4 linked regions of the Caenorhabditis elegans genome follow. The protein of the gene in region 3 purifies or fractionates together with the protein of the main gene of each other region. This does not show direct contact. Each region holds a gene or a part of one and is shown on either strand. Other genes may lie near its edges.

Region 1 (7,843 bases), on a different chromosome or scaffold from region 3:
AGCAACAGAGATTCAGAGCCATTAAAATAGAAAGTTTTGCTTTTTTTAAAAAGTTTTTAGGGAAAATGCTTTTTTTAAAATCGATTTCTCTGTTCTTATAAAAAAGTGGGAGTTCAAAAAAAAATTAATAATCGGTTTCCGACCTTTTTTTTCGATATTTTCAGATAAAAGTCGGGAAATGTATTCTCTCATGATCAAACAAAATCCATAATTTTCTCTGCGGTAAATCAAAAATTTTCAAGAACCTTTCCAAAAAACGTCAACCCAGTTTCCAAGAAAAGTCGACCCGCAAAGTCAACCCACGCAAGGCTTCTCCCAGTCTCTCCCGCAACAGTTTCGCTCCTCATTTTCGCAAAAAAGAACCACTTGAGAGTGTTACGGCTAGTGTAATGATGAGCAAAAATTGCGCGCACACACACAAAAGTAGCAAACTTTTAAAAAAAACTCGGTAAGGGAATTTACCTTAAACTCATCTGATGACACCATCAAACGCTCAATAAGCAGCATCGATGCTCCATAGGCAATGAGACAATCACGTTCCATTTCTCCAAGACGTAGACCTCCTTCTCGTGATCTTCCTTCTGTTGGCTGGCGAGTCAATGCGGCTCTGAAAATTTATAGATTTTTAAAAGAAACTCTGAGAATAAATTGAAAAAAATTTTTAAAAAAAGTTTTTTTTTTAATTTAAAAAATGTGAGAAAAATTAAAATGGTTTTTTTTGTTCCAAAATATGCATAACATTTCCGCGAATTGGATTTGAAAAAAATGTATTTCCACTATGAAAAATTGATTCTTTTTTCCCCTAATTTCCTAAGCTTCGAGCATTTTGTCAATTCCTTTTTCAGAACTTTTTCAATTTGGCTTTTTTCGAAATTTTAACCATGATAAAAATAAGTGAATTTTGATTGATACCAAATTTTCTAATTAAAAAAATGTTGCAATTCCTCATTGTTTTACATCAAAAGTTTTAAAGGAAAGTTGGAAAATGCAGAGTTAACTGTTCTAAAAATTTTTCTTTTTCAGATTTTGTTGCTAAACTTAATTTTTAAATATTTAATTGAAAATTCTTTCCAAAATTCAGAATTTCCAGACAAGACATTATCTAAATTCAAAATCTCTCCACACCTCGGTCCTCTGGCACGGGCGTGCATCTTATCCAAAACCATATGCTTGAGCTTCTGATAATAGATTGGTCCAAAGTAGATATAAGCAGATAATGGTTGTCCAGTAATTCCACTTGTCAGCATATCTTTTCCCATATAATTATAACCACAAGCAGCCAATTCTTCACAGACATCTTTAACCTGATCTCCACCAAATGCTGTTCCATAATGATATGTTCCATTCACTACTCCAGCTTTTCCAGATAACAATTCCATTAATTTTCCGACAGTCATTCGAGATGGATATCCATGAGGATTCATAATCATATCTGGCACCATTCCAAGATCATTAAATGGCATATCTTCCTGTTGAGCAATCAATCCGCATACTCCTTTTTGTCCGTGTCGAGATGAGAATTTATCTCCAAGTTCTGGCCGACGGGTTTGTCGAAGAAGAACTTTGAATAAATGAGCTTCATCTTCATTATAGGTAAGAAGAACTCGTTCCGCATATGATGGAGTTGGAGTTTTATACGTGATCGAGACGTCTTTGTAGTCAACTTGGCGTCCAGCGATTCCGACTGAAAATTTAAAGAATTGTTAGTGAACGTTTTTTTTTTTACTTTTTCAGAGTTTTATATTTAAATTTTCGTTTTAAATTAAATTAATTGAATATTTGAACGGAATAAATGTCAAGTTTTATTTAATTGTGAACGTAAAAAAGTTAGAAAATTTATATTCGCAAAAAAGAACGGAGACAGTTTCTTTGAGTTTTTTTTTAAAACATTTGTTTAATTGGTAAAAATTAAAAAATGCTATAAATACTTCAGATTTTTTGGAAAAAGTTTTAAAACAGGGTTTCTGTTGAAAACTCGCTTTCATTTTTACGAGGTTGGTCTGGGAATTGTTTATTATTCTTTTTTTTTTATATTTTTCGTGTTTTTTTTCGTAAAACTTTTAAAAAAATAGATGTCTTCTCGAAACTGTACATTCCGTTTTTATTTTCCTTATACAAATTCGTCATGCTCATTTCAACATACTTGTATTGGCAGAAGCCGACGCTCCAGGACCACTTTCTCCACTGACAACTGGCATGTGCTTATTGATAATCGTCTGTTTCGGCATAATACGTGCTCCGGCGAATACAATACCCTCTTGATCGAGATTTTTGTGCTTGAAAATTGGTTTTCTCGTGTTCGGATCCAATGCTGGTCCTAGAAGACGATCGAATGTCTGATTCGGATATTTTTTGGCGGTTCCCTTCACATGTTTGTAGACCAGACAACGACCATAACCACGATCCAGTGAAGCTTTATTGAGCACAAGAGCATCTTCGATATCGTAACCACTGTATGACATCACTGCGATGATTCCATTCGCGCCGGCCGGCAGTTTTTCAAAGTTTGTCAGTTCGATTGTCTGGAAAATTGTGATGTAAAAAGTTTGAACAATTGATAATTTTCTAAAAGAAAAACAAATTAAAAATTTCTGAATAGAATAATTGATTAGAAAGATATAGCGGATACTTCCGATTTGATTTTTTTATTTTTCGGAATTCAGGAAATTGATTTATTTTTATTTTCAGGATTATTAACGATATCTCTCCACAAACATTAGTTCAATAAATGAAACATGCATTTTTTAATCAAATTTTTTTCATAAATTTTAAAATATTTCAATTTTAACGAACCTTTGACTTAACGAGTGGTCTCTGTGGATAACATAAAAGATACATAATTGAATCAATTCTTTTCTGTTGATTATAGGCAATTGTTCCCATTGCTTGTTTACCCATAGCACATTGATAAGTATTACGTGGAGATTGATTATGATGTGGATATGGAATAAGACCAGCACACACTCCAAGAAGAGTAAATGGCTCAATCTGGAAATTTTGAAAGATTATTAATAGCTCAGACACTGAAAAGTGCAAATTTTATTTTAAACTAAGGATAAAAATCTTTAAATGTTGGAATTTCCTTGAATTATAGAATTTTAGAGCTCTAAATAATTTGATTTTCAATTTTTTATATTTAAAAAAATGAGAATTTAAACTTTTTTCACATAGTTTTAAGTTTCAGACAAATTTTACCAAATTTTTTGAATTTTCTTTACAGGAAAGAACAACCAGTTTTCGATTTAATTTTTTTCATTTTTAGATTCACAAAGTTCAAAAACGTACCTCCAAATGTGTAGTTTCTGGGCCAATTTCTCTCCCATAAACGGCAATCAACGCATCGTTCATCTCATTTACATCCAAATATTCGACAATTCCGTCATCAACAAAATCCTCAAAAATCATTTTTCCCTCTTTCAGTTCCTGCACGTGAGCCTGTGTGAGCATTGGAGTTCCGTTTTTGACAATAATATATGGTCGACACAGGCGGCCACCGTCTGATGAAATGAAAACAGAACGATTGGTTAGAGAACGGGATACTGAAACAAATTCTGACAGGAGTCCACTTCTGAAATTGAAATTCGATGAATTTTTTGGCAACATTTTTTTGTTGAAACCTTCTCAAATCTCTGACGGCTTTCACCACTCTTTCTGGATCCACAGCTGTTCCAATGAGCACTCCGTTTAAGAAGATCAACGTGTTTTCACTGAAAATTTTCGATAAAAATAACCTTTTTTTTAGGAAAAAACACAAAAAAATGGATCTAGTAATTTTCAAAAATTGTCAAACCTTAACTCGATTTGAAATCTAATTTTTATGAAATTGATAATTTATTTTAGAAATTTATAAAAATTGATTAAAATATGCGATTTTTTCAAAACTAGCATTCTCAAAACTTTTATTTTTCAAGATTTCACACTTAAAATTTTAATTTGTAAAAACTCACGGCTTATTGACATGCGAGAAATGCACATTATGTAAATCCTCGACTCCCGAATTGAGTAACAATCTGAGAACGGGTTTCTCATCGGAATCAGTTGTAATGTGACTAATCAAAGCGAGATTCTTCACAAGACCACAAGCTTCACCTTCAGGAGTATCACTCGGACAAAGCATTCCCCATTGAGATGGTTGAAGGGATCGAGGACCAGAGACTTTTCGAGTTTTCTCAAAAGTCGAGTTGATTCTTGTCATCATACCAAGTGCTGAGATATATGACAATCTACTTAGTACTTGTGTAACACCAAGTCGTTCCATTCGGAATCTTTTGATAATCCAATTTCCTGTCGACATAGCATTCACTATAGTATTCGTAATCATATCTTGTCTCATATGCTTCACAATATCCAATGGTGCAGCCATTGTCTTCATCAACGCATTGTCTGCAATTCTTTTCAGTTCAGAGTTGAATCTTTTGAATACATCCTCAAACAGCAACGAAAGCAATGATCCAGCGAGCTCCAAACGTTTATTTCCGTAGAAATCCCGATCATCAAGCCCATTTTCTCCGAGTTCCGTTTGAATCAGTCGTCTTGTCATTAATCCCAAATAAATCGCCTTCATTTTGAAATTTCCATCTGGGCAAGCAATATGTGTGATCATTGAATTGGACAGAAAATCGACTGCTTCGTGTTCTTTCGGTGGAGTCAAGACGCTCACTGAAGTTCCTGGAAGTGATCCGAATGGTGTGAATTTACGAGCCTTGACTTTTGAGGTAACATATGCGAGTGCCTGCTGTTGGGTATAAACTCCGGCATTTATGGATTCTTCGAGAGTTTGAGCAAATGCTGAAACGTACTTCTCCTCGTGACCGATTGTACTCACAATGTCAAAATCTGATTCGACTCCCATCGCCTGGAAAATTGAAACTTTGAAAAGGAAGCGGTTTTTAGTTTTTGTTTTAACATAATGCTACACTTTTTTTAAAATTTTCCCTATTTTTTGTAATAATTTTCTTGAATTAAAAAAAGCGAACTCGAATTTTGGAAAAAAAAATCTGAAAAACTCCAGATTCGATAATAAATGTTTTTGAGGAATTTCGATTGAAAATATCGTAAAATGTTCAGTTTCTCACAATCAGAAAGAAAGAAAGCTTCATTATTTTTTATTCTAAAACATTTTTTGAGAATATTTTTTGCATCAAAATTTGGAAAAATATTTTTCGGAGAATGTTTTTGTATTGGATGTTTTTTTTTTTAAATAAAATATTTAGGAATGAATGCCGAACATTTTTTTTTTCAGTTGTCATCAAAATTCTCAAAATTTACCTTGAAAATGATGGAAACTGGTACATCATCGGTGAGCTGATTGTGGCGAACAGAATATTTACCCTTCTTCATAGTCACATATGTCTTACTTTTCCTCTCGGACGTCGACGAAAGTACTTCACACTGCAGTTCTTTACTTGAATTTCTTCCAACCATAATACGATTTTTGGAGAGTTGTTCTTGAATCAGGATAACCTTTTCACTTCCTTTGACCACAAAATAACCTCCTGGATCATATGGGCATTCTTGAACTCTTGCAAGCTCTTCTTCGGCAAGATCTCTGAGAATACATTTACTCGAACGAAGCATAATCGGCATTCGACCAATGATCAGATCCTTCTTGAATACTCTTTGATTACCACGTGTGTACTCAATATCCACTGAAATTGGCGCCGAGTAGGTCATATCTCGTAGTCGACATTCTTGAGGGGTAATCTTATCGTGAGTCATGTTGAGACCCTCCTCACTGCTGGGTTTTCCGATTCGAATATCCAAATATTTGAGATAAAAGTTTGGATTTGCATCGGAAGTGATCTTCTGATTGGAGAGCATGATACTTCGGATCTCCTCCTGCACGAAATGATCGAAACTGACGAGATGCTGTTTGACGAGTCCTCGAACTTTCAAAAACGCGGGAACGAGAAGCCATTTGTCCTCGAGTGGCATGCATTTCTGATCCTTGCCGCACTCGGATTTTATGCGAGCGCGGCCGTTCACTTGGCCAATTGTCATCTGAAAATTGGTATTGAAAATCTGAAATTCTAGAATAAAAATTATTTGAAAAAGAGGTACAAAAACAGAAAATAACAGTTTGCAATAGAAATCTGGAAATAAAATTCAAAAACAAAAAAAAACTTTATATTCATACGGCGAATAGCTGAAAAAGGCACGGAAATTATTTGTACACCCGGAAAAATTAAATTATAGCTAGACATTTTTCTAAAAATAAATACATAAGGGGTTCCTATTAAAATGGTAAAAATTATGGGGGAAAATCAACATTTTGGGTGAAAAGATAGGAAAACGAGGAAATCCGATAAAAATTATGGGTTTCCCTGATTTTTTAGCTTTCCATTAAAAATTCAATTTTCCGCTAATTCTGGCCTCTACAATTTTAAATCAGAATTATTTGGCAATGGCGAGAAATAGTTATCGACGACAGAATCCTTCACATCAGCCAACGTCGCTGGATTCCACTTTGGCTTGCGATCCTTGTCAACGAGAACTGAAAAATGAGTCAAATTTTCAATGAAACCCTACAAAATCTCTGCTCACTGGCTCGGCACCCTTCATGGAAATCCTTATCGGCGAGGAATCGTTGAGTGAGACGATACTCCATTGTGAAGATCTTTGCATAGCTCATCTTGCTTCCTTCGGTGATTTGTCGGTGAGTTACTTTCAGGGAAGTTGGGCTCATTTTTCCTAGAGTGGCTGCTTGCTTCTTTGCCCAGTCGGATCCGTCTTTTTCGAGGCTTGCGAGGATTTCTTCGACGCTTCTGAAAAATCAATTATTTTATATATCTTAGGCAAATGTAATTTTTTGTGTGCTATCGAATCCTCAAAACTGGCCCTTTCCTAGTTTTTGCTTAAAACTAATATTATCTGAGAAACAATAATAAATCAATTCGATGAAATGCTACTTTTTAATTTGTTCCAACTCAAATACACGTGATCTTGGTGACAAAATATCTTACTTTGCTTTGAAGGAATCTCTAATTTGAGCCAAATTCTTGGACAGACTGAATTCTGGAATCTTCTTTGGCTCGAACGATCTGATGACTTCATCGACAGAGTTCTCTGTCACATCCTTAATATTCACAAGTTCCTTTTCCAATTTCGCAAGTTCCGAAGACTCCACAAAATGAGTGGCAAGACCAGCATGGAAAGCGTCAGCACCTAGAAGACGATATCCAGTGAGTGCCAAGTACATTCCGAGGTTTCCCTTGAGCCTTGAAAGGAAATAGGATCCACCGACGTCTGGGAAGAGTCCAAGTGCGGTTTCTGGCATTGCTAGCATTGTTTTCTCAGTGGCAACTCGGAAACGTCCATTTACAGAAAGACCACAACCCTGAAACAAGTTTTTTAAAAAATTGAAAAGAAAATAGTTGCAGATAACTTACTCCTCCCATCACAATTCCATCAATCAGACAAACGTATTGCTTATTCAAAGTTCCAATTAAATGATTTAAAATGTACTCCTCGCGGAAGAAATCCTTGTGCATTGTGCACTCTTTTCCACTCTCCGAATCTTTGAAAGATCGCACAACGGCAAGAACATCTCCTCCAGCACAGAACGCCTTATCACCGGATCCTTTCAAAATGACAAGATCCACATCGGAAGATGAATTCCAGGCTTGAAGTTTGGGATAAAACTCTCGTACCATTTCGAGGTTCAACGCGTTTAGCGCTTTAGGCCTATTCAATGTAACCACCTTCTTCGATCCGTGTGTGTCGACAAGGATTTCCGACTTGGCGGCGGCGCTCACGGAGAACGACATCTTCTGGCAGACTTCCTGGAAATTTCTGAGTTTAGAACAGAAAATTTGATAGAAAAATAAAATGTTAGTCAAAATTT
Region 2 (4,757 bases), on a different chromosome or scaffold from region 3:
GTGTAAATTATCACATTTCAAAATGCGGCCGGGTCTCGCCACGATTTGCCCGCCGCTGTGTCACGGGGTACGGTGGATGGCGAGAACCACGTCACTGTGCGAGAAATCTAGATTCCAATCTTTTTCCGGCGATTTACGTGGATTTTTGCCGGTTTTCAGCGGATTTTTTCGTTTTTTCGTGGGTTTTTGAGGTTAAAAATTGATTTTTGAAGCTTTTAAAGCTATATTTCAGTCGAAAAAGCGGCAAAAATCGATAAAAAACAGGTAGAAAGAGTGAAAAGTGACGTGGCGTTGAATTAGGTCAATTTAAATCAATTTGTCGTTGAAAATTGGGTTTTACAGCTTTAAAGCCTAGATTTCTGTCAAAAAATCAATAAAAACCAGGCGAAATGAGAGAATTTTGTGAAAAATCAAGTTTCGCAACTTTTTCCGTAGTTTTCTGTGGATTTTTGCGATTTTTTTCCATTAGAAATTCGATTTTCTGTGTTTTTTGCAGAAAAAGTTACAGTTTTTGCTGAAAAATGCGATTTTTTCAGGCAAAAACGACAAAAAATCCCATTATCAGCAGAATTTTGGTGGTTTTCTCAGTATTTTTTTCTGAAAAATGCAATTTTTTCAGCCAAAACTGGCAAAAATTGCATTATTAGCAACAATTTGTGTGATTTTTCAGATTTCTAGCTGAAAAATGCAATTTTTTTCAGCTAAAACTAACAAAAATCGCATTTTTTGTGGATTTTTGCAACTTTTCGCGTTTTTTTTTCCATTAAAAATTAAGTTTTAAGGCAAAAAAAGCGAATTTTCGCGGGGTTTTACCACAAAAAAAAACCGAGGGAAAGGCGAATTTTGCATACAATTGTCCAAAAAATTGAATTTTTTCAATTTTTTTACAAGAACAGTCAGAAAATTTGCATTTTTAGTAAAAAATTTGGCATTTTTTACTGAAAAAATGGAAAAAATCGATTGAAAATGGGGATTTTTAGCCGAAAATTTGGAAATTTTCAGTAAAAATCTGATTTTTTTAGCTTAAAAACCGATATTTTTCGATTTTTAAGCTAAAAAATTGATTTTTTCAGTGAAAAATGGAAAAAATCGATTGAAAATGGGGATTTTTAGCCGAAAATTTGGAAATTTTCAGTAAAAATCTGATTTTTTAGCTTAAAAACCGATATTTTTCGATTTTTAAGCTAAAAAATTGATTTTTTCAGTGAAAAATGGAAAAAATCGATTGAAAATGGGGATTGTTAGCCGAAAATTTGGAAATTTTCAGTAAACACCTAATTTTTAGGTTAAAAGCCGGGATTTTCCGATTTTTACGCCAAAAAACGGAATTTTTGACTAAAAAATCGGGTTTTCAGCTGGATTTCGAAGAGTTTTAGGGTTAAAAATGGTCAAAAATTCAATTTTTCTGATGTTTTTGATTTTTCTGATGTTTTTGAGCATTTTTCATGCTTCAGAGTGATTTTCTTGTCATTTACAGCGTTTTTTGATGATTTTTATCCATTTTCTGACGTTTTTGGGCATTTTTCATGCTTAAAGGCGATTTTCGGGGGTTTTCCAGCGTATTTTGACGATTTTTATTCATTTTCTGGCGTTTTTCGATGATTTTCGATGATTTTTCACAGAAAAATGCGATTTAGCTGGAAAATTCAATTTTTTCACAAATTTTTTTTTAAAACGTGAACTTTCTCTACTTTTTTCTTTCTTTTCCCCACAAAAAACCCGAATTTCCAGCTCCTCCACAATGAGCTCCGGAGAGCAACCATGCTACACACTCATCCACGTGCCCAGTGACGCTGAGCTCCCATCAGAAGCTCAATTGAAGGAAAAATTCGAGAAAGGAGGCGATAAAGAGCGAATTGAGGCGCTCAAAAAGCTCATTTACATGATTTTAAACGGAGAAAAAACGTCGCAGAGCATGCTAATGTACGTCATCCGCTTCTGTCTTCCATCCAATGAGCACACCCTTAAAAAAGTGCTCTTGATCTTCTGGGAATGTGTTCCGAAGACGGATTCCAATGGAAAGCTGCTCCACGAGATGATTCTGGTGTGCGATGCCTACCGAAAAGACCTTCAACACCCGAATGAGTTCGTTCGCGGTTCGACCCTTCGGTTTTTGTGCAAACTCCGTGAGCCCGAGCTTCTCGAGCCGCTTATGCCGGCGATTAGAGCTTGTTTGGAGCATCGGCACTCGTATGTTCGTCGTAACGCTGTCTGCGCGATTTTCACTATTTATAGTGAGTTTTTTTGGGCTTATTTAGGCCTGAAATGGGCTTGAAAATGCGAAAAATGACTTTTTTCCAAGAATTTTCACCTTTTATTGCATATTTTACGTTATTTAGTTGATAAAAGGTACATTTATTGCAAAAAATCGCATTTTTAGCTGAAAATTGGCGAATTTTTCAGCCAAGAACGGCTAAAATCGCATTTTTAGCCGAAATTTGAGGGTTTCTTAAGATTTTTGATTTTTTGCTCCAAAATGCGATTTTCTAGGCTCATTTTCGGTGAAATTTGCGATTTTTTGCGAAAAAATCCCTTTATTAGCTGAAAATTGGCGAATTTTTCAGCCAAAAATGGCAAAAATCGCATTTTTAGCCGAAATTTGAAGGTTTCTTCAGTTTTTTTTGGTGAAAATTGCGATTTCTCATGTTTTTTGAGCTGAAAAATACGATTTTTTACAATTTTTATGCCAAAAAACACATTTTTAGCTGAAAATGCGATTTTGTCAGCCAAAAATGGCAAAAATCCCATTTTCAGCTAAAATTTGGGGTTTTTTTTTCAGTTTTTTTGCTGAAAAATACGATTTTTCATGATTTTTCAAGAAAAATCACATTTCCAACGAAATTCTGACTATTTTTCGCTGAAAAACGGCAAAAATGCCAATATTCAGCTGAAAAATGAGCATTTTGTCTGATTTTTGTTGCCAAAAATCGATTATTAAGCTGGAAGATGGAAAAAAAATTCGACTTTTTGATGTTTTAAGCTAAAAATACGTAAAATTTCGTTATTTTAAGCAGAAAAATCGAATTTTTCAGGGAAAAACCTGAAAAACTTGCAGATTTCCAGCTAAAAATGTCATATTTTCTGCAAAAAAACCAGGAAAAATCGTATTTTTCAGCTAAAAATGCGAGTTTGGTCTTGAAATGCACCTTAATTAACGAAAAATCAATGGAAATATGCAATAAAAGGTGAAAATTTGAGAAAAAACCAACTTCGGGACCGGAAAATTGACCAAAATTAATGATTTTAGCTAAAATTAGGTGATTTTTTCGCATTTTTTGATCATTTTTTCCCCGTTTAATCCAAAAATCCCGCTTTTTTTCCAGAAAACTTTGAATTCCTGATCCCAGACGCACCGGAGCTCGTCACAGAATACCTTGAACAGGAGCAAGATGCTTCGTGCAAGCGTAACGCTTTTATGATGCTCCTTCACGTAGATCAAGCTCGTGCTCTTGACTATTTATCGGGATGTATCGATCAAGTCGGATCTTTTGGAGATATATTGCAGCTCGTTATTGTTGAACTCATTTATAAGGTGCATTCTGTGGAAAATTGACTGAAAATATCGATTTTTTGAGAAAAAACCCGTAAAAATGGGGTTTTTTTCGTTGAAAATCGAAGAATTTTCATTAAAAACGGCGATTTTCAAGAAAATTGCGGTTTTTTAAGGAAAAATCTGACAAAACCCTGTAAAAATGGGGTTTTTTTTTTTGTTAAAAAACGGAGAATTTCCATTAAAAACGGCACTTTTTTTATGAAAATTAACTGAAAATGTGAATTTTAGAGTAAAAAAGCTATAAAAATGGCGTTTTTTCGTTGAAAAATGGAGAATTTACATTAAAAACGGCGATTTTCAAGAAAATTGATTGAAAATATCGATTTTTTGAGAAAAACTTGTTAAACAGGCTATTTTTGTTTTAAAAAAACGGAGAATTTTCATTTAAAACGTCGCTTTTTATGAAAATTGAATGAAAATATGAACTTTTAAGCAAAAATCTCAGAAAAATCGTGAAAATCTAGAAATTTCACTATAAAAATGTGTGAAAATCGATTTTTAATTTTAAAATTAACTAAAAATTGGTTTTTTCAACGAAAATACGATAAATTTATCGAAAAATATGATTTTCCTCCAATTTTAACCGAAAAAACTGAAAAAAAATGGCCGAAATCATCCAAAAACTCCAATTTTCTTTCAGGTTTGCCACAATAATCCAAACGAGGCTTCCCGATTCATCAGATGTGTCTACAATCTTCTTCAGTCATCATCACCAGCCGTTAGGTGAGGAAAATCTTGGAAAAATGACGGATTTTCCTGGAAAAAATGGACAAAAAATCGCCAACACCATAAAAATTGTGCGATTTTAGCGAAAAAACTGGAAAATTACGATTTTTAGACCCCAAAACCTTAAAAATTCAGCGATTTTCTCGAAAAATAGCCTGAAAAAATGAAAAATGTTGAGTTTTTTTTTTTCGAAAAAAATGCTCCAAAACCTGGAAATTGTGCAATTTTTTCGTTAATAAGCTGAAAAATAATTAAATCTTTATTTTTTCTTGAAAAACCTATCAAAATTCTCAAAAAAATCGAGTTTTAGACGCCAAAAGCCCCAAAACCGTGAAAATTTCGCGTTTTTCTGAAAAAAAAAAAGATAAAAAGTTAGAAAATTACCGTCTTTAGACCCCGAAATCTTGAAAATTCCGCGATTTTTGTCAAAAAAAAATAGGCGAAAAATCAGATAATTGCAGTTTTGAGACCTCCAAAA
Region 3 (6,422 bases):
CTGGAGATTCTTTAAAAACAAAAATCCAAAAAATTTCTATCGTGGTATTTCTGTACGGACTGTGGCAGTAGTTTAGGTCTTGAATGACACAGTCGCCAGAAAGATGGATGTGAGCGGCGGCACCAGTATTCATTTTAGTACTTTTTGGCACGGTTTGACCTGAATTTTCAGAATTTTTAGAAAAAAATTAGCTCTGCTGATTTTGTGGGTCGTTACGCCTTGTGAAACCAAAAAAACTGAGTAAATTTCGGAAAGTTTAATTCATGAAATATTCAAAGGTTCTTGCTAGGCGCCAGTGTCGACACAGAAAATTTTTATATGCTACAAAAACAATCAAAAACGCTTCTTCATTTCTTTAACTTTCAATTTAACATAAAAATCATACATCTGAAAATTATTGGCGTGCGTGGGAGGTGCGTTTGTGTGGGAAGTGCCGCGTGCCAAAATGCCGTTTTAAAAAGGGTTCGCCAAATTGCCGAGGTGATTAAAATCGCACCTTATTGGGAAACATTACAAATTTTGGGTCAAATTGAAGGAAATTTATTCAGCTATCAGTATTCGATAGAAAAATGTACGTATGACGTGGCAGTCGCGCGAAAATCTCATGTAAAAGAGCGCTTCATGTGTTACCATACTTTTGGCCCACCCTGTATGAACATGGGTTCGTACCATGGAACCACAACGAAAATGACCAAAAGTTCCATATTTTTGAAGTCCCACAGAAAGCTATTTATTTTCTACCAGTTGTTGCATTACGTTTTGATTATTTGTATTTGAGCATTGTGTTGTCAATATTATAAGAATCATACCATTTCCACACACACACACACACACATTTTACATAAATAATTAGCTAAATTTATGTAAATTCTCTTGATAATTTACAAAAAGAACGAGCAAAATCGGTTATTCTTATTATTCCTGACTCGTATCGAGTACTCTTTCTACTATAATATTGCTCTTGGTTTGGACATTGTGGAGAACACAACAATAAGCAAGAAGATTGCCATAATCAGGTAAAACTAAGGCTGCAAAGGGGGCCTCTTCGATTTTAAGATATAACTGAGTTTTTTGAAAAATCTAAAACGTTTAAGGTTGTCCAGAGCAAAATTTGCATAAACATTCAACAACTTCACTATCAGTTTCAAAAAAAGTTGATTTTTCTCGTAATTTTTTTTCATTCATTTTACAACATTTCCTGAATGCAATTTTATTTATAAAATCTGCCACGAAGCAGCCACCGTTCGTAAGAGACACCTCACAAATGTGAGAAACGCAGACAAAAAAGTCAAAGGCACGCCGACTTTCCCGCTGTGGTCTCGATACGATCGGGGCTTTCTGAGTTGGCGATGGATGCGCCTCTACCTTTTGAGTGTTCTATCGTTTCGCCAACGTATCTTTTGATGAATTTTAAGATTTTCTTCTAAAAAAGATTAATTTCGGTTGATTTAAACATCTGAATTCTAAAAATCCAGAATATTATCGATTTTTGAATGTTCTTTCGGTTTTATTTTATTTCTATAAGCTGACTATTTGCAAATCTTCCTCTTCGTGCTCAGCTTAATTTTACATTGAGTTTATTTATTTTAGCTTTTTTTCAGAACAAGATGCCTCTCCGACTTGATGTAAAAAGAAAGCTTCTGGCTCGTTCGGACCGCGTGAAATGTGTCGACTTGCATCCAGTCGAAACATGGCTTCTAGCTGCTCTTTACAATGGAAATGTTCACATCTGGAATTACGAAACACAAACGCTTGTAAAGTCATTTGAAGTAAGCTTTTTTTCAAATTTATGTGCAAACTTCATGAAATTACGAAATAACTGAATCTAAATTTTGCAGGTGTGTGACGTACCAGTTCGTGCAGCGAAGTTCGTTCCAAGAAAGAGCTGGGTTGTCACGGGATCTGACGATATGCATATTAGAGTTTTCAACTACAACACATTGGAACGAGTTCATCAATTCGAAGCACATTCTGATTATCTCCGATCGCTCGTTGTTCATCCAACACTTCCCTACGTCATTTCATCATCCGACGACATGCTTGTTAAAATGTGGGATTGGGATAACAAATGGGCAATGAAACAGTCATTCGAAGGGCATACTCATTATGTCATGCAGATTGCCATCAATCCAAAAGATAATAACACTTTTGCAACTGCTTCTCTTGACAAAACTGTCAAAGTATGGCAGTTCGGATCGAATGTTCCGAATTTCACTTTGGAAGGACACGAGAAAGGAGTCAACTGTGTCGATTACTATCATGGTGGAGAGAAACCATACATTATTTCTGGAGCTGATGACCATCTGGTCAAGATTTGGGATTACCAAGTAAGTTTTTTTTCTCTTTGCATTCATCCAAAATGATATTTTCAGAATAAAACGTGTGTGCAAACGCTCGATGGACATGCGCAAAATGTGTCTTCAGTTTGTTTCCACCCAGAACTGCCATTGATAATCACAGGATCCGAAGACTCCACTGTTAGATTGTGGCATGCAAACACCTACAGGCAAGAACATTAAAGTACGATTTCCACAACAACAATTTAAAATTTTTAGACTGGAAACAACCTTGAATTATGGGTTGGAACGTGTTTGGTGCATCCAAGCTCAAAAAGGAGCCAACACTATTGCCATCGGATACGACGAAGGTTCCGTCACGTTGAAATTAGGCCGAGAAGAACCAGCAGTCAGTATGGATTCGTCTGGAAAGATTTTGTGGGCAAAGCACTCCGAAATTCAGCAAGCTAACCTGAAGACAATCTCAACTGAAGAGTCGGAAGCCATTCAAGGTTTGGAAAACTTTCATTCGACTTTTGTATAGTTCGGCACATGTTTTCTGAAAGTATTAAAAAAAGAGAAATTGTGTTCATTTATTATCACTCTAAGACAGTTCATTTACAGATGGAGAACGTCTGCCGCTTTCTGTAAAAGATCTCGGATCTTCTGAAATCTATCCACAAACCCTTGCTCATTCATCTAATGGACGTTTTGTTGTCGCTTGTGGTGACGGAGAATACATTGTTTATACTGCAATGGCTCTCAGAAACAAGGATTTCGGACAAGGACTCGAGTTTGTCTGGGCTGTTGATCCAAATATGTTTGCTGTCCGTGAATCTGCCACCAATGTGAAGATAAAGAAGAACTTCAAGGATCACAAGTCAATTCGTTCAGATATGGTACTTGAGGGAATTTCTGGTGGACCACTTCTTGCCTTGAGGTTTTTGAACTCTTATCAATTGACTTTTATTTAATTTTTTGTTTCAGATCGAACAACTCTTTGTGCTTCTTTGATTGGGAATCAGCCGTTCTTGTTCGTCGTATCGAAATTACTTCCAAGAGCATCTATTGGAGTGACAACGGAGAGATGGTCGCAATTTGTGGAGATGATTCATTCTACGTTCTCAAGTACAGTGCTGAAGCAGTTGCCAATGCAACAGAAGTGACCGAAGACGGTATTGAAGACGCGTTTGAGGTTATTGGAGAACAGGCAGAAGCTGTGAAGACGGGATTCTGGATCGGGGACTGCTTTATTTTCACCACTGCACTCAATAGAATCAACTATTATGTCGGTGGAGAAATTGTCACTATTGCTCATGTTGATAGACCACTTTATTTGGTGAGATTTTAAAACATGCGTTGTTCTTATCATTTTTAAAACTTAAATATTTTAGTTGGGATACATGGCTAAGGAATCTCGAGTCTATGCCGTCGATAAGGATCTCAACGTGATCTCATACAAACTTCTTCTATCTGTTCTTGAATATCAAACTGCTGTAATGCGCCGTGACTTCGATACTGCTGACAAGGTACTTACTACAATTCCAAAAGAGCAGAGAACTCGTGTTGCTCATTTCCTCGAAAAGCAAGGATTCAAGAAGCAGGCTCTTGCGGTCTCTCAAGACCCTGATCACAAGTAAGACAATTTTCAGCTTTTCAGCAATAATTTTGGAACGTTTTCAGATTCGATCTCTCGGTAGCTCTTGGAGATTTGAAGACTGCCTACGATTTGGCACTGCAAAGCGATTCAGAAGAGAAATGGAAGGCTCTCAGCAACGCCGCCACTCTTAAGTCGGAACTTCTTCTTGCTGGTGAATGTCTTGGAAGAGCTCGCGATTTCGGAGGTCTAATGCTTCTTGCAACGTGTGCCGGATCAGCTCCTCTTCTTCAGAAACTTGCGGATGACTCTGCTGCTGCCGAAAGCCACAATATCAGCTTCCTCAGTAGTTTGCTTCTTGGAGATATTGATGCTTGTCTAGACAAACTTATTTCGACTGGTCGCCTCCCAGAAGCAGCGTTCCTTGCTCGAACACATGCGCCGTCTCGAGTTTCATCTATTCTTGAATTGTGGAAAGCCAAGGCTTCGGGACACAGCGAAAAGAGTAGCAGAAAGATTGGAGAATCTCTTGCCGATCCAGTGAAGTATGAAAACTTGTTCCCTGGATTTACCCAATCACTGAAAGCAGAATCTTTCGTTCGTGAGATCTCCAAGATTCCAGTCCCAGCATCCGTTCGAGTGCCATCAGCTGCTACCCGGAATATTCAAGAGGAATTGGATGAAGCTGTTGCTTCGGGAGCAGTTTCTTTTACTGATGATGGCCAAGCAGTACTTAAGAATGCCCCAAGACAAACCGAGACACAATTGAAAGCTCCACCTCCTCCATCAGTTGCACGTCAACCCTCGCCTGTACGCCAGCCATCCCCTATTCGTGAGCCATCACCGATCCGCGAACCTGAACCTGAAGAAGAGGAAGAACAGGAAGAATTCGATGATGATCAGCAAGAGGTGCATGTTCCAGCTGTACGTTTTGAACAGTTTTTTATTCATATGGAATTTGACTATTCGTTGCTAGAATCACCAATTTATTTTCAGAATCAAGAAAGTGCCGATGCTCATGGAACATCTAAAACTCCTGATGTTGTTCTTGAGACAAGCCGGCCTGATATTGTCCCACCACGGGGGTCCGCCGCTCCAGATTTGGTTTCCGCGTCTTCACAACAATCTGCTCAAGATGTAAGTATTTATTTATAAATGTTTTGAAAATTATATAAACTGCGAAAATTCAATCAATTAATCCAATTACAGTTCCAAGATGATACGCAATGGTCAGATGAAGATTTTGGAGATGCTGAAAATGGAGACCTGAATATGGACGATCTAAATTTAGACGAGGAAGATTGACTGGTAGTCGATCGATCTGCCCAACAAGATCAGAAAGACTGAGTATCAGTGTTATTTTTTTGTGTATGTAATTTAAGCCCCCCCCCCCCCCCCTCCCGTCCTATCAATGTCCCCATTCCATCCGTAATTTCATGCACAATTTTTTGACGAATGATTCAGAGCAGATCGATCGATAGATAATTATTTTATTTTTCATGTTTCACCCCAAAAAGAGGTTTTTTTCTAACCCATCTGGTGTCGGTCACTCTCTAACATTCTTTGGGAAATTGTTAATTAGTATTATGGGAATGTGATAATGTTTTTCTTATCAAATAATTATGTAATTTATAGTGTTTTTGGCGCACTCGTCTTTTTTTGTGATTTTTATTTCTACTGGTCACTCCTGTCGTAAGCTCCCTTTGCCAACTATCCACCCAATTCATCCCTCCCCGTTTTCATATTTCTGCCTTCAAAATCACATAACTTATTGAATTTTTATGTTTATCGCCCTTTCTGATTTATAAGTAAACACTAAGTTATTTCCAGCTTTTTTGTGCGGTGTTTTTTGTATTCTAGGGGTTTTCTTCGAAGTTTTGTTCTATGGCTTTTTCCACTTCTACTATCATCCTCCCCAAAACTTTCGTGTTAACGAAAAAATGATGTAATGAGAGTTTTATTGATTGAAATGATTTTTTTTTCTTTTAACCGTGTTTGAATAAACGGAACAGAAAGTGTATGTGTGGCTGATCAGGAACAATTTGTAGATATTTATGTCTACACAAGTGATAATCAAAAGGCACTTCAAAAAAGGAGCAAAATGATAAGAGGCGTCGAGCCGATTTCAATACGGAAAAAGCGTATTCGGCGACAATCCGATACGATTTTTGGCACGGAATCCCATTTGACGAGGTTGAGCCGAAACTGAACGAGCTTCTCTTTCCATTGGTGGCTCTTCAGTATGTCTTGAAATTCGTTCGGAAGATTCGCTTCGCCGCTTGTTTAATGTTTCCGACTCGACGCCACCCCGTCAACTGTCTCGTGGTTGGCTTTGTTCTTTCTGAAATGATCATGATACTATAACAATATGATATAACATGTCGAAATTTTGTGAGATTTCTTTAAATAACCTAGTTTTTCAGTTCTCATAAATGTTTATTTTTGAATCTACACATTTCACATTTCCTTGATTTTTTACGATCCATCACTCATACGAAAACATGTGATTAATTTTGTCCCGCTTTCTCAAGGGGACTCCAAAAATTGTA
Region 4 (5,387 bases), on a different chromosome or scaffold from region 3:
GATCCTACCATACGTAGATTCTCTTGGTATTAATGAGCAAGAGCTCACATTCCTGTCACATATTGCAAATGGACCACATATGGAAGAATATCCGGTACAAGCTGGAACCGTTCATGTGCACAAAGTTGTAGAGATGCTCCATTGGCTCTTGAAGACATATGGAAGAGATCCCACTGGACAAATTGCGTCGAAAACTGGATACCGGCTCTCTCGAATTCATTTCCATTGTCTCACGTATCACATTATGGTATCTTCTGGAACAGATTGGTCTAATCTTGCTGCTGGCCTTGCTGCCGGAGCCAGAATCGCTGGTCGATTGTCATGTAATATTGGAGCAAATACGATGGATTCGGAGCTGCTGGAAATTAGAACTCCGGCGAATTTTGTGTTGGATAAGAAGATTGAGAAGAATTATCAATTTGAAGCTCATAAGTATGTGAAAAGAGGAATCAATTGAGAGAAAAACACCGAATTAAAAAAAACACCAAAAAAGCTTTTAAGTTATCAAAAATCAATATTAAACTGAGAGTAGAATTTGTGGGTATTTTGCGTAAATAGACTGAAACTTGTCCAAAACCACCTAATTTCATAATGAGACTTCACAAAAAAGTTGCCCAAAACGTTTCGGGTCAAAATTTCAAAAAAAAAACCAAATTTTGCTAAAATCTGGAATTTTTCCCACTTTTCTTTGATTGTAGGTCGGGTTACTGTAATAGTAATGTAGGGGTACTGTAGGAGTACGGTAGGATTACTGTAGTTATGGGGGAAAAAGTTGTGTTCCTTTTCCTTATCAATCTGTTTCCAGCCCAATAGCATCATGGATGCGTGAAGATGTTCTATTCGTGTTCACACCTGTTCTTGTATGCCGTTTACCATCAAAAACCGTCGGAATTGATGATGCAATTTCTGCTACCGGACTTCTTTATTCACAATTTTATCGCTTGAATAGACCCACTCATTGGTAGACTTTCACATGGTGTCGGGTTATCCCATCACGGGTTGATGTACAAGAAATGCGGGATTTCTGCGTCTCGCTCACCGCATTTTTGTAGATCACACCGTGATGGGACACTCTGACACCACGTGTACTTTATTGTAAAAATTTGTTCATTCTCCCCATTTTTTGCCATTTTTTTCATGTATTTTCTCTTTTCCCCCCAAAGATTCTGTGAATTTTGTTATGATTATGTGCCTGTAATTTTTGTAAATGTAAATAGTAATAAATACCCTTTTTTTTCTAAATTTTGAATTTTGTGGTTTTCTCCATTTTTTCTATTTTTTTGCGATTTCAGGTAGTCTCATCAAAAAATTGACGATTTTTAGAAAAAAATCAAATATTTTTTTGAAAATTTTTAGACTTTTTGATGATTCAAAATTCTTATAATTTTTGGATCGAAATTAATGTTTATGTAAGTAAATTTTTGAAGTTTGAAAAACGGTATATTTTTGAAAATCGAAAAAAAATGTTTACAAAGCCTCAAAGTGCAGTACCGAAATCTCAGATTTTGCTTTTTTAGACCCAAGTTTTTGATTCCAGTTGAAAATCAACATTTTTTCCAGAACTTTGAACCGCCATAACTTCTTTTTTGTGAAATTTTCAAAAAGTCTTATTAGTTTCGGTAGTTTTTCGGTAGTCTAAAATGTCCGTCTAATCGGTAGTCTCGGTAGTCTATCGGCAGTATGAAAATTTTTGGGTAGTTTCGGCACTCGGTGGTCTAGTTTCGGTAGTCTAAAAAAGCAAAGTGTCAGATTTCGGAACTCCACCTTATGGGGTTATTCAAGTAGTGTCGGAAAATTAAAAAGTGTAGAAAAATTACGTCACAACTGTATTCAAGTATATAAGAAAAAACAAAAATGTTTTAATTTTCAAAAAAAACAATTTTTTCAGATGCTGACTCCATTTAACATAGCTCGTTGCTCCACACGACTTATTCGAAGAAAACCTCCAGGAGGTGGGATTCTGGATGAAGGAGTCACATTTTCAGATGTTCACAACGTAATTCTTAATCCAACGACACGGCTACCGTACCCAGAGGAGCAACTTCGTGAGCATATTGAAAAGACGTCAAGTGAAATTATGAAGGAAAGGAATAAAATTCGGTAATTTTGGTTTTTTTTTGAAAATTTTGAAATGAAGGAAATTCGAAAAAATTTAAAATTTTATTATTTGATTTTTTTCTCGGAAAAATCATGCAAAAAATAGTTTTTCTTTTTTAAATTTTCGAAAAATAACCGGAAATTATTAAAAATGTGGCCAAAAATGTACATTTTTGGTTTTTGAATTTTTTTCATTAAAAATAATTTAAGATCGAAATACCGATGAGCCTGGTACGGATAAAATAGGCAATTAAATTTTTCTTTTTTGAAAATTTCTGAAGTTCGGAGTTTTTGTTTTCAAAATTTCAAAAAAAAATTTTTTTCAAAAATTCAAATTTTTATAGAAAATCAACTCTACGATCGTTTTCGCTGTATTTCCGAATAAAATCACGTTCCATCACTTATTTTCCGTCTTGAGAGTACTAAGAATCAGATCGTTGAGATCGATGCACCATAAGCTTTGTCAGCCCATATATCGGTTAATTTTGATTTTTCAAGATACGGAACGCGCAAGAAGAAAGACTCTGGAGCTATTGATTTCAGTCAATTACCCATCGAAGAGCACGTCGTTCTATTATTTCCGGGACAAGGAGCACAATTTGTTGGAATGGGTCAAAAGGTGTTAAAGTAATAATGTTCGGCGCAATTGTTCAATTTTTTATTTCTACAGGTGATGGATATTCCAGCGGCACGGCGAGTTTTCGATGAAGCATCCGAAGTTCTAGGATATGACATGCTCAAAGTTTGTCAAGATGGTCCCAAACAGAAGTAATAAATATTATTCTCTGAAAAAATTAGAAATCTTTATCAAATTGTGCTCATGGTGAAAAAATACCGGCAAAAATACGTTTTTTGCCCGATATTATCTAATTTTCGATTTTCAAACAGTACTATTAATGCTTCTGGAATCGCCAAGCATATTTTCAAAATCAGGAGTGGGTGACAATTGCCGTTCGGCAATGTGGTTGTCGACAAATTTGGCAATTTGCCGATTTGCCGAAATTTTTCAATTCCGGCAATTTGCCGATTTGCCGGAAAAATCGTTTGCCGCCCACCCCTGTTCATAATATTGTCTGAAAAAATTTAAAAAAATTGCAGACTTGAACAAACACTTTACTGCCAACCGGCCATCGTAACGTCATCAATAGCAGCGTTTGAAGCTTTAAAAGCATCAGATCCGTCAATCGAAGAAAACCTGACTGATACAGCTGGATTTTCAGTCGGAGAATATGCGTCACTTGTTGCCGGGAAAGTTTTGAGCTTTTCAGATGGTAATTTGGTTTTTGTGTTTCTTCAATTCTTCTAAAATTAGACTTTTCCAGCTATCAAGATCGTGAAAACCAGAGCCGAAGCAATGTCAGAATGCGCGAAACTGGTGAAGAGTGGAATGGTTACGATTCGAGTAAAAGCTGCATCGAAATTGGATAAGGCAATGGCAGATGCCAGAAAAGTGGCGGCGTAGGTTTTTTCTCACAAAAATTTTCAAAAAAAACCTGCGGTTTTTGCAGGAAGAGTACAAAAAACCCGACGGAAATCATAAAAATTGAAAATTTTCAGAAAACTATTTTCCAACATTTGAAACTACTTTTATCGAAAATAAATTAACTTTGATGCGAAAAAATAAATTTACTTGAAAATAAACTAAATCGGCAAATTTCCTGAATTGAAAATTTCCCGCAAATCGGCACTCCGGCAAATTGCCGGAATTGCACATTTCCGGCAAATCGGCAATCGCCGAAAATTTCCAGCAAACCGGCAAATTGCCGGAATTTAAAATTTACGGCAAACCGGCAATTTACCGATTTGCCGGATATTTCAACAAAAAAACCTGCCGAACGGCCACCCAAACCCTGATTGTTCAAATTTCCAGTGAAAACCGAGAGCTTGTTGTATGTGAAGTTGCCAACTATCTGTATTGCGGTGTCCGAGTAATTGGCGGATCAGAAACGTGCCTAAAATATTTGGAAGAAAATCAAGAGAAATACAATATTCAAGTGATGAAGAGACTTGCAGTTTCGGCAGCTTTTCATACACGACAAATGGAGTCTGCCGTCGAACAGGTGTGTGCTTCTTTGCTATTTTCAAAAATTAATAACTTTTCATAGTGGTACGGTAGAAGTACTGTAGTTCAAGAAAAAATAGTTCTCATCCCCAGAAGTCGGGGCTGCGCCGGAGGTACGGTTCATGGCTGGTTAACAGAAAAATATTAAACAGAACCTGTATTTTCCGATAAAGTTGTTTTTATAAGCTTTCCTCATGTTTGTGTTTTCAGGTGGCAAAAGCTTTCCAAAACGTGGAGATTCATCGTCCGGTGTGCAATGTCTGGTCAAATTATAGTGGAAAAGTGATGTCATCGAAGAAGGGAGACGTTCGTGGAGCTGTCGCCAAACAAATCAATTCACCGGTTCGATGGGAACAGATTCAACAATCGCTGTTCAGAAAACATCAGGTAAATTTCAAATTTTTCGTGGTACTGTAACTTCAACGCCCCAAAACACATTTTCTTGCGCGCTGACTCAAATATGGTGAAGAATTTGGATTTTTCACATTAAAAAATTTCAGAACGAAGCATTCCCCCGCTTCTACGAAGTCGGTGCAGGACGTCAGCTCGGTGCGATGCTTTTTCAAACATCGAAAAAGGCTCACAAGAATTATTCACATTTCAGTTGCTGAATTGATTTTTTTCATTGTTTGTGTTATATTTATGTTAGCCTTATATATTATGTTAGCCTTATATTTATTATAGTTTCAATTGTTGAAAATATAAATTTCAGGATAATGAGTGCCCGTTTTATTCTAAAATCATTCAACAAACAACTTTTTATTTTTGCCCAATTCTTTTTTCAGCCATCTGTCCTTTTTTTTGGGGGGCAAAAAAATTCTAAAAATGTTTGAAATTATATTAAATTGAAAAAGGGCCATTTTTAAGGGTTCGGAGATCAATTTTGAGTCCTCTAGCTAAAAAATGAACCATTTTAGAGAAGTTTCAAAAATGTTATTTTTTGCCACTTTTAATAGTTTTTGATGGGTTAAACTTAGATTTTTTGGATTAAACATGTATGAATTACCCGTTCCCTACAAAAATAAACAACTTTTTATTTTTGCCCATTTTGATTTTTCAGCCATCACATAATGACTGTCCTTTTTTTTTGGGCAAAAAAATAATTTTTCTAAAAATGTTTGAAACCATATATTACCATGAAAAAAGGCAATTTTTTAGGGTTTGGAGATCAATTTTGAGTCCTCTAGCTAAAAAATGAACCATTTTAGAGAAGTTTCAAAAATGCTAT

The links.
Region 1: the proteins of copb-2 (region 3) and rpc-2 fractionate together in Caenorhabditis elegans (co-fractionation; one large-scale study listed by BioGRID). This does not show direct contact.
Region 2: the proteins of copb-2 (region 3) and copb-1 fractionate together in Caenorhabditis elegans (co-fractionation; one large-scale study listed by BioGRID). This does not show direct contact.
Region 4: the proteins of copb-2 (region 3) and mcat-1 fractionate together in Caenorhabditis elegans (co-fractionation; one large-scale study listed by BioGRID). This does not show direct contact.

Annotation. Positions count from the first base shown.
Region 1 is NC_003281.10:5,555,522-5,563,364, reverse strand, and holds the start of rpc-2 (DNA-directed RNA polymerase subunit beta), read right to left. Parts: upstream 6,001-7,843; coding exon 5,269-6,000; intron 4,856-5,268; coding exon 3,948-4,855; intron 3,708-3,947; coding exon 3,618-3,707; intron 3,569-3,617; coding exon 3,286-3,568; intron 2,989-3,285; coding exon 2,794-2,988; intron 2,523-2,793; coding exon 2,144-2,522; intron 1,685-2,143; coding exon 1,126-1,684; intron 608-1,125; coding exon 463-607; intron 1-462. Other genes in the region: hach-1 (3-hydroxyisobutyryl-CoA hydrolase, mitochondrial), read right to left, coding at 6,375-6,493, 6,544-6,764, 6,963-7,336, 7,389-7,781.
Region 2 is NC_003280.10:3,077,065-3,081,821, forward strand, and holds the start of copb-1 (Coatomer subunit beta), read left to right. Parts: upstream 1-1,731; 5' UTR 1,732-1,741; coding exon 1,742-2,234; intron 2,235-3,323; coding exon 3,324-3,532; intron 3,533-4,193; coding exon 4,194-4,276; intron 4,277-4,757.
Region 3 is NC_003282.8:9,458,130-9,464,551, forward strand, and holds copb-2 (putative coatomer subunit beta'), read left to right. Parts: upstream 1-1,601; 5' UTR 1,602-1,607; coding exon 1,608-1,769; intron 1,770-1,838; coding exon 1,839-2,327; intron 2,328-2,372; coding exon 2,373-2,506; intron 2,507-2,555; coding exon 2,556-2,788; intron 2,789-2,900; coding exon 2,901-3,216; intron 3,217-3,263; coding exon 3,264-3,615; intron 3,616-3,670; coding exon 3,671-3,912; intron 3,913-3,959; coding exon 3,960-4,797; intron 4,798-4,869; coding exon 4,870-5,010; intron 5,011-5,082; coding exon 5,083-5,178; 3' UTR 5,179-5,891; downstream 5,892-6,422. Other genes in the region: F38E11.6 (Adenylate kinase), read right to left, coding at 6,185-6,214. UniProt on the Caenorhabditis elegans protein: The coatomer is a cytosolic protein complex that binds to dilysine motifs and reversibly associates with Golgi non-clathrin-coated vesicles, which further mediate biosynthetic protein transport from the ER, via the Golgi up to the trans Golgi network.
Region 4 is NC_003280.10:88,021-93,407, reverse strand, and holds mcat-1 ([acyl-carrier-protein] S-malonyltransferase), read left to right. Parts: upstream 1-1,888; coding exon 1,889-2,100; intron 2,101-2,595; coding exon 2,596-2,716; intron 2,717-2,767; coding exon 2,768-2,865; intron 2,866-3,195; coding exon 3,196-3,368; intron 3,369-3,419; coding exon 3,420-3,555; intron 3,556-3,967; coding exon 3,968-4,157; intron 4,158-4,369; coding exon 4,370-4,546; intron 4,547-4,659; coding exon 4,660-4,770; 3' UTR 4,771-4,879; downstream 4,880-5,387. Other genes in the region: C50D2.7 (putative ADP-dependent glucokinase), read left to right, coding at 1-432, 806-965.